Linked DNA regions of Drosophila melanogaster. The protein of the gene in region 1 purifies or fractionates together with the protein of each later gene. This does not show direct contact. Each region holds a gene or a part of one and is shown in the gene's direction. Other genes may lie near its edges. The genes, in order: Arc1 and Doc2.

Region 1 (3,925 bases):
CGCACACCCTTCCACCACACCACGGCAATGCTCTTGAAGAGCAGCGGCAAACCCTTTAGCGCATCCTTGTCGCTGATGCCCTCCACCTCTTTATACGTCTCCACGGCATTGATGAACTCGTCCACGGCATCGTGATCCCGCTGGCCACTGAATCTCACCGTGCAGTTGCTAAAGCTACCCTTGGATGGCGGTTCCTCTTTGATTGGCCCCAGCGATTTAATGGTTTCTATGAATATGCGAAACTGTTCGTCGGACATCTGCGTCATTTTGTTGCCGGTTTCTTGGGTTTGTTTGGGTTTAAAAAATGAGTAAACAAGCGCCCGAAATAGACCAGCTCAATTCCGATTTCAAGCCCCAATCGTTAGACGGTTGGGGGGCAACTGGCAATTTCGCTTGTTGTGAAATGAAAAGCCACATTGCTCTCCTCCCTCTCTCTTTCTCCGTAAGTAAAAGCTTTTTCGAGTTTCGAAAAATATCCAACACTCTCTCTCTCTTCAACATTTTTGAATAATTGGAGAGCACAGTTTGTGGCGGTTCCTCCGCAAGGAGGCCACCACGTGGAAGGAAGCCATCGCTCTCATCCGCGAACACTTCTCGCCCACCAAGCCCGCCTACCAGATCTACATGGACTTCTTCCAAAACAAGCAGGACGACCATGACCCCATTGACACCTTCGTCATCCAGAAGCGAGCGCTGCTGGCCCAGCTGCCCAGCGGTCGCCACGACGAGGAAACGGAACTGGATCTTCTGTTCGGTCTGCTGAACATCAAGTACCGCAAGCACATCTCCCGCCACAGTGTCCATACCTTCAAGGATCTCCTGGAACAGGGCCGCATCATCGAGCACAACAACCAGGAGGACGAGGAACAGCTTGCCACAGCAAAGAACACCCGTGGCTCCAAGCGCACCACCCGCTGCACCTACTGCAGTTTCCGGGGGCACACCTTCGACAACTGCCGTAAGCGCCAGAAGGATCGGCAGGAGGAGCAGCACGAGGAGTAGGCGACAAAAAGAACATCAAATACCAACAGGCAGCAGCCAACGTCATTGATGACCTCATCGCTGCTGCCGCCCACCCAAACAGAACTTTTCGTAGCCTCGCCAGCCGATCGACGTCAGAGAGAGCCCAACAACCGGAGAGCTGGAGATGGGGAGCAGCCACATCAACAGCAGCAACAGCAGCCACATCTCTTCATACTCTTCATACTCACTGGCAATCGGCGTGCCGGTAAGCCTCGACTAGCTTCTGAAATCCACAAATCCACGCTGTTTGTATTGCTATTCGCAATGCCTCGAAAACGGCTCTATTTTCATATAATTTCACGCCGACTTGCGGCTACTTTGGCACAGAACGCCAGCTTTTGGAAAGCAATAATTTTTATTGCAACATTGAACCTTTATTTGCAACTAGAAACTAGATTTCGAGAATCATCGGGCGGGGCGGCTGAGGATCTGGCATTTCGTCCGTAAGATCGGTTATTCGCAATGGAGGAATATGATATTCGAACCAAATGGCGGGTGAAGTGCCTCGGCATGGAGCTCCATTTTCTTCGAATCTTATGTTTTGACATTGCGAGTCTGAAATGGATGTTGCCTGATCTCCAGCCGCCCCGCACAACCGTTGATTCTCACAACCGCCGGCTCCACTTTGTGCCGGTCAGCGGAGAAAAAGCGATTATTTGGCTATCAAAAGATATGATCACTGTGTTGAGAGACATGGCAATCATCGCTATTGTAACCATATATTTGCTGATTTTTCGTCTGATCCTGGTCCTTTGTGAAGCTAGCAAAAAACCCCCCGCCCGGTGAATGCCCACTTAGATCCTTTTGCAGGAGGATTTCGACGGCCCTGAAGGTGGGCGCCACCCGTTTCGTGATGATTCACTCTGAGCAATAATACCAAAAACATAGACCTTCCCTCTCTTATTGGCTCTCCCCAATGCCTCAAGCTTTTTCGAAGTTCGATTTCACAACAGGCGGATATAAAAGGGCTGCAATGTGGGAGAGCTGTTCAGTTCAAATCACCGGCCGCATTCGCTACACTGGCTTTGTCCGCCGACTGAACCAAGATTAATTTGATCACCTAACCTCACACAGCAGCGAAAATGGCCCAGCTTACACAGATGACCAACGAGCAGCTCCGCGAGCTGATCGAAGCTGTAAGAGCGGCCGCCGTGGGCGCCGCCGGAAGTGCAGCAGCAGCCGGAGGAGCAGACGCCAGCAGAGGCAAAGGCAACTTCTCCGCTTGCACACACAGCTTCGGCGGAACCCGCGACCACGACGTGGTCGAGGAGTTCATCGGCAACATCGAGACATACAAGGATGTAGAAGGTATCAGCGACGAGAACGCCCTGAAGGGCATCTCGCTGCTGTTCTACGGTATGGCCAGCACCTGGTGGCAAGGCGTCCGCAAGGAGGCCACCACGTGGAAGGAAGCCATCGCTCTCATCCGCGAACACTTCTCGCCCACCAAGCCCGCCTACCAGATCTACATGGAATTCTTCCAAAACAAGCAGGACGACCATGACCCCATTGACACCTTCGTCATCCAGAAGCGAGCGCTGCTGGCCCAGCTGCCCAGCGGTCGCCACGACGAGGAAACGGAACTGGATCTTCTGTTCGGTCTGCTGAACATCAAGTACCGCAAGCACATCTCCCGCCACAGTGTCCATACCTTCAAGGATCTCCTGGAACAGGGCCGCATCATCGAGCACAACAACCAGGAGGACGAGGAACAGCTTGCCACAGCAAAGAACACCCGTGGCTCCAAGCGCACCACCCGCTGCACCTACTGCAGTTTCCGGGGGCACACCTTCGACAACTGCCGTAAGCGCCAGAAGGATCGGCAGGAGGAGCAGCACGAGGAGTAGGCGACAAAAAGAACATCAAATACCAACAGGCAGCAGCCAACGTCATTGATGACCTCATCGCTGCTGCCGCCCACCCAAACAGAACTTTTCGTAGCCTCGCCAGCCGATCGACGTCAGAGAGAGCCCAACAACCGGAGAGCTGGAGATGGGGAGCAGCCACATCAACAGCAGCAACAGCAGCCACATCTCTTCATACTCTTCATACTCACTGGCAATCGGCGTGCCGGTAAGCCTCGACTAGCTTCTGAAATCCACAAATCCACGCTGTTTGTATTGCTATTCGCAATGCCTCGAAAACGGCTCTATTTTCATATAATTTCACGCCGACTTGCGGCTACTTTGGCACAGAACGCCAGCTTTTGGAAAGCAATAATTTTTATTGCAACATTGAACCTTTATTTGCAACTAGAAACTAGATTTCGAGAATCATCGGGCGGGGCGGCTGAGGATCTGGCATTTCGTCCGTAAGATCGGTTATTCGCAATGGAGGAATATGATATTCGAACCAAATGGCGGGTGAAGTGCCTCGGCATGGAGCTCCATTTTCTTCGAATCTTATGTTTTGACATTGCGAGTCTGAAATGGATGTTGCCTGATCTCCAGCCGCCCCGCACAACCGTTGATTCTCACAACCGCCGGCTCCACTTTGTGCCGGTCAGCGGAGAAAAAGCGATTATTTGGCTATCAAAAGATATGATCACTGTGTTGAGAGACATGGCAATCATCGCTATTGTAACCATATATTTGCTGATTTTTCGTCTGATCCTGGTCCTTTGTGAAGCTAGCAAAAAACCCCCCGCCCGGTGAATGCCCACTTAGATCCTTTTGCAGGAGGATTTCGACGGCCCTGAAGGTGGGCGCCACCCGTTTCCGGTAGCGGCTTCGGCTGCTTCCGGTTTCCGGTGTCGCAACCCTTCGCGATGTCCCCCGTGCGAGTGGAGCTACAGTGGGCGTGAGCCGGGCAAAACCTAAATTTCTTCGGAGATTTAAAAAACCAACAAATTTTTTGACTTTTGTCAAAACAATTCGAACCCACATAGCACTACGATGGCTAA
Region 2 (3,925 bases), on another chromosome or scaffold:
TCACTTGATCGCTGTCTGAAACGTGTATCTCTGAAATGTATACCCAAAACATTGATAAGCGGCAGGAATGCAAGTACACTCAGAGAAATACTATCACTCTAGTAAAATAATCAAAAATTCCTTTGACTATGTGTCATAGATAAGACCATCTATCTGAACTCAATGAAATTTTTGCTTAATTTGCTTCTCCATACTTTGATGACTGAAACCCATGCAAAACGAACTAACTGCAGGTATTTTAATTATTGCAAACACTACTTGCTCAACTAGCAGTTCTTCGAGTGCATCATTTGCTACCTGTTGGCCCATTTATCCGGAACCGAACGGAAGTAAACCGAAATGCATTAGTCAGACAGCAGGCACAGGGGCAGCACCAATTAGCTGGGTGCTGACAAATTGCACAGCTATTGGCATGGTCTGAAAGGGCAGACCCTTTAGAGGCTCTACAGGATCGATGTCTAATGGTTTGACGAACGTAGTCGAGCTGAAAGACGGCAGAACGGAAAACGCAACCGGAAATGAGCGCGACCAAATGTGAAAACGCGAGGCATAAATTATGGTCAGACGGCGCATACATTCATACGTGGCCAGAACGCAATTTGGGCGAAATGGCCTGCTAATAGTAAATTAATTTCAGACGCTTATCGCCGCCAACTGTGGCTATGGCCATATCCATAGGAAAATAATGCGTGGATGTGTCAGGCCAGCAAAGTGCTGTGTAAATTAGCTCGGCTAACTACATATTTACCCATCGAGAGCCTCAGGAATTTCGCAGTAATGCTGTTCAGATAAGCCAAGCGATTGTCTTAAACTTGAAAGGAAGTGGCACTGGAGGCAAACACGAGACTAGTCGTTGGCAAAAAAAAAAAAAAGAAAACAACACATTAAAAACCGAGCACGTTTCGCCATCGTCGGCCCACATGGCGTATGCTTAACTTCAGTCAAAGTTCAGACCACCTCATTGGGCCTTAATTAGTTTCGAATTTGTTAGCAAGCAGCTCCGACACGCGTTTCCGTCGTTTGAAACAAATGTTTTGCCAAGCTCTCTAAAAGGTCAGATCCACAAACAGTGATCACCTGCATCGCCGGCAATATCTGTAGACTAGACTATAGCCTATAGATATTCGTGTACCAGCAAGTGGAGACGCCATATCGGGCCTTTGGATGCCGCCATATCAATGCCTGAATGACGCAGCGTCAAAGTCGAAATAACATATAATTACACAGAGAAAACTGCATTAAAGTGTTATTCGTTTAATTAAAAAGTAAAGATTATTGTATAATGGGCCCCAATATATTAATTAATTAAACTATTTACCAATTCTTCTCTACTGATAAACTCTAAAATGTGTATAAAAAAAAACTATTGCAACGATGACCAAGCAATTTCATCCAACATCAATCCGCCAACAGGTAAACAAGGTACTTTAAAGTAAGTGATTGGAACTTTTACTGATACTTAGATCAATATCTTATACAATACGCTGCCAAACACACCAAGAGTAAATATTTTTCAATAAAAAACCATCAAATTGCTGTTCAAACAGCATCAATAAATTCTTTTCTCTGTAGTGCGCCGGGTAAAATGTAATAAATGATCAGCAAAACGACAAACACACACGGCTTGGAGAGGCCAGACAAGAGGACCACCATGATGGTGATGGTGATGGCAGCGGCTACAAATGGGCAAAGCATAAATACACAAAAAGATGCCAAAAAGCGGAGACGGAGAAAAAACAATTTCAATCATCATGATCATAATTAAAAGGCAGCCAGCCAGCGCACACACACATAGCGAATGGACCCAGAAGCAACATGTTGCTGCTCCTCCGCTGACTGTGCAACTTCGCACTTCAGAATTAAACGCAATTAGAGCGAGCTGGCACAATGTGAAGAGAGAGAGAGAGAGAGAGTGATAGTCAGCGCTTCGTGGGCGGAGCCATGGCATCTGGAAAATCGAGAGGATTTTTCAAAATGGAGGTGCCAAACCAGAGCGGGACGGCTAGCTCCCGCACTCCGTACACTGCCACAGCCAATCGATGGTGAGCAGCAGGTAATCTCGATCAATGGCTCAAGACGGAAACGAGTCAAGCTCGTTCCATTCAGCTCGATCGAGAGATCGCTCTGCCAGCGGAACTTGCTCAGTTGAAATGCGAACTTGGCGAGCTCAAGACACGACCGTCGCCCAAAGATACAAAAAATTCTCTCAATATATTTGTGGTAAAATAATAACCCACGTACGCGACACCGGGCCTAATCAAATTAACACCCACGCACATGAGAGACTTTTGTGTGCCGTGATTTGCATAATTGACGCTAATCGGCGGCGTCTCGTGCTCGGCTAAAAAGTAAACCCGGGCTCCAAAAAAATAGACACCGCCATATGTTGTGACAGTGCTTTTTGTGTGCTGGGGAACAATTGTGCAAGTGACAAACGCCAAACAAAGAAGTTTCGGGCAAAGATTTAGTACTATTTTTGGACCCAACACATCATGATCACCATGAACGAGCTGGTGGATCTGCGCATGCAGCAGCACATAGCACACGAGATCTATCGCCAGCAGATCATGCAGCGCATACCAGGTAAACTGCTTGCCCCCTTCATATCACTCATCCGCCCCGTTACGCGTGCGGCAAAGCTGTTAGCCATCATTAGCATTAATGGTCGTAACTTTTGGCAAACTGCTTTTGTTTCTGTTACTGTCTCAGCCCACCAAAGTTGGCCAAGATCAGCGGGGTGTGTGCGAGTAGCGGTGTTTATGGCCAGCGGATCATAAAGCTGAGTAATGTGGGAAAGTGATCGCCGATCGAGAAACTTGATATCAAATGCATTTTTCTTGTTGCCGACGGTCGTTAAATTTCGGGATCAGCGTACCCCTAAAACAAAATCGTTGTTTGCCAAAGTATCGCTCCTTATTTTGTGGATACCAGATGGAGGGCATTAAGTTTGGTAATCGGGAAAGAATCGGTGTTCCTCGTTCGCCAAATAAGCGTTTTTATATAACCCCATGTTTGTTCGTTTGTTTTTATGACAAATATGTCAGTCATCATATGGATTTATGCCGTAAGATCTCTTTGGATAAGTCAGAAATGTCACACTTTAATTCAGACCCACGCTCTTAAACTAATGGCGACTATTAAGTTATTTGAATGGGTTTCATTTTAGCCAAATACCATGTTAATATGTTTACATAATTTCAATAATTCTTAATTTTCTTTGTTGAAGACTAAGTAGTTTGTTAGATTGCTTGAGCTTTTGTTAACCTATAAGCCCCCTATTGATTATTGTTCTTTTCAGATCCGTTTCCGCCGATGCTGCCAATTCCGATGCCACGGCACGTGATCATGCCACCTCGAGTCACGTTGCCCGGCGTGGAGATGACCCTGCAGAACGACGATCTATGGAAGCAGTTCCATCAAATTGGCACGGAAATGATCATCACCAAGAGTGGCAGGTAGGTTTAGAACAGAGAGAAAAGATCTTTGATGATGAAAATGATGAAAAACCAAGAGTGGGGGAATCTCGAGATATACAGACTTTAGAGATCGGGAACAAACATAGATGTAGCGATGCATTAGCACGAACATGAAAACTAATACCCCAGACGCAGGGCAAAGAATAATAAACCAGCCAACGGGCGCGGGCACTTAAAGCACCCTATAACGATCCCTAGCCCGATCCCTGGCCCGATCCCGATTCCGATCCGATTCAGTAGAGTCCAGCGAGGATGTGCTGCTGTTAAAGGCTCATTAGATGCAGGCGCCTGCAAATTGTTTACAGCGGCGTCGCGACAACGATTTTCACAGGCAAACAAGGCGGAAGGATGCACTTACGTCGGCAGGATGTGAAAATCGAAAATTGAAAATTGAAAATCGGGAAATGGAAAAGCGGTTGCAGGTTCAGCCAAAATTGATGCGCACTGGA

Evidence for each region.
Region 2: the proteins of Arc1 (region 1) and Doc2 purify together in Drosophila melanogaster (affinity purification with mass spectrometry, with the first as the bait; one large-scale study listed by BioGRID). This does not show direct contact.

The regions. Positions count from the first base shown.
Region 1 is NT_033778.4:14,358,381-14,362,305, reverse strand, and holds the start of Arc1 (Activity-regulated cytoskeleton associated protein 1), read left to right. Parts: upstream 1-2,008; 5' UTR 2,009-2,105; coding exon 2,106-2,870; 3' UTR 2,871-3,925. Other genes in the region: Arc2 (Activity-regulated cytoskeleton associated protein 2), read right to left, coding at 1-266.
Region 2 is NT_037436.4:9,017,459-9,021,383, reverse strand, and holds the start of Doc2 (Dorsocross2), read left to right. Parts: upstream 1-2,137; 5' UTR 2,138-2,492; coding exon 2,493-2,583; intron 2,584-3,298; coding exon 3,299-3,455; intron 3,456-3,925.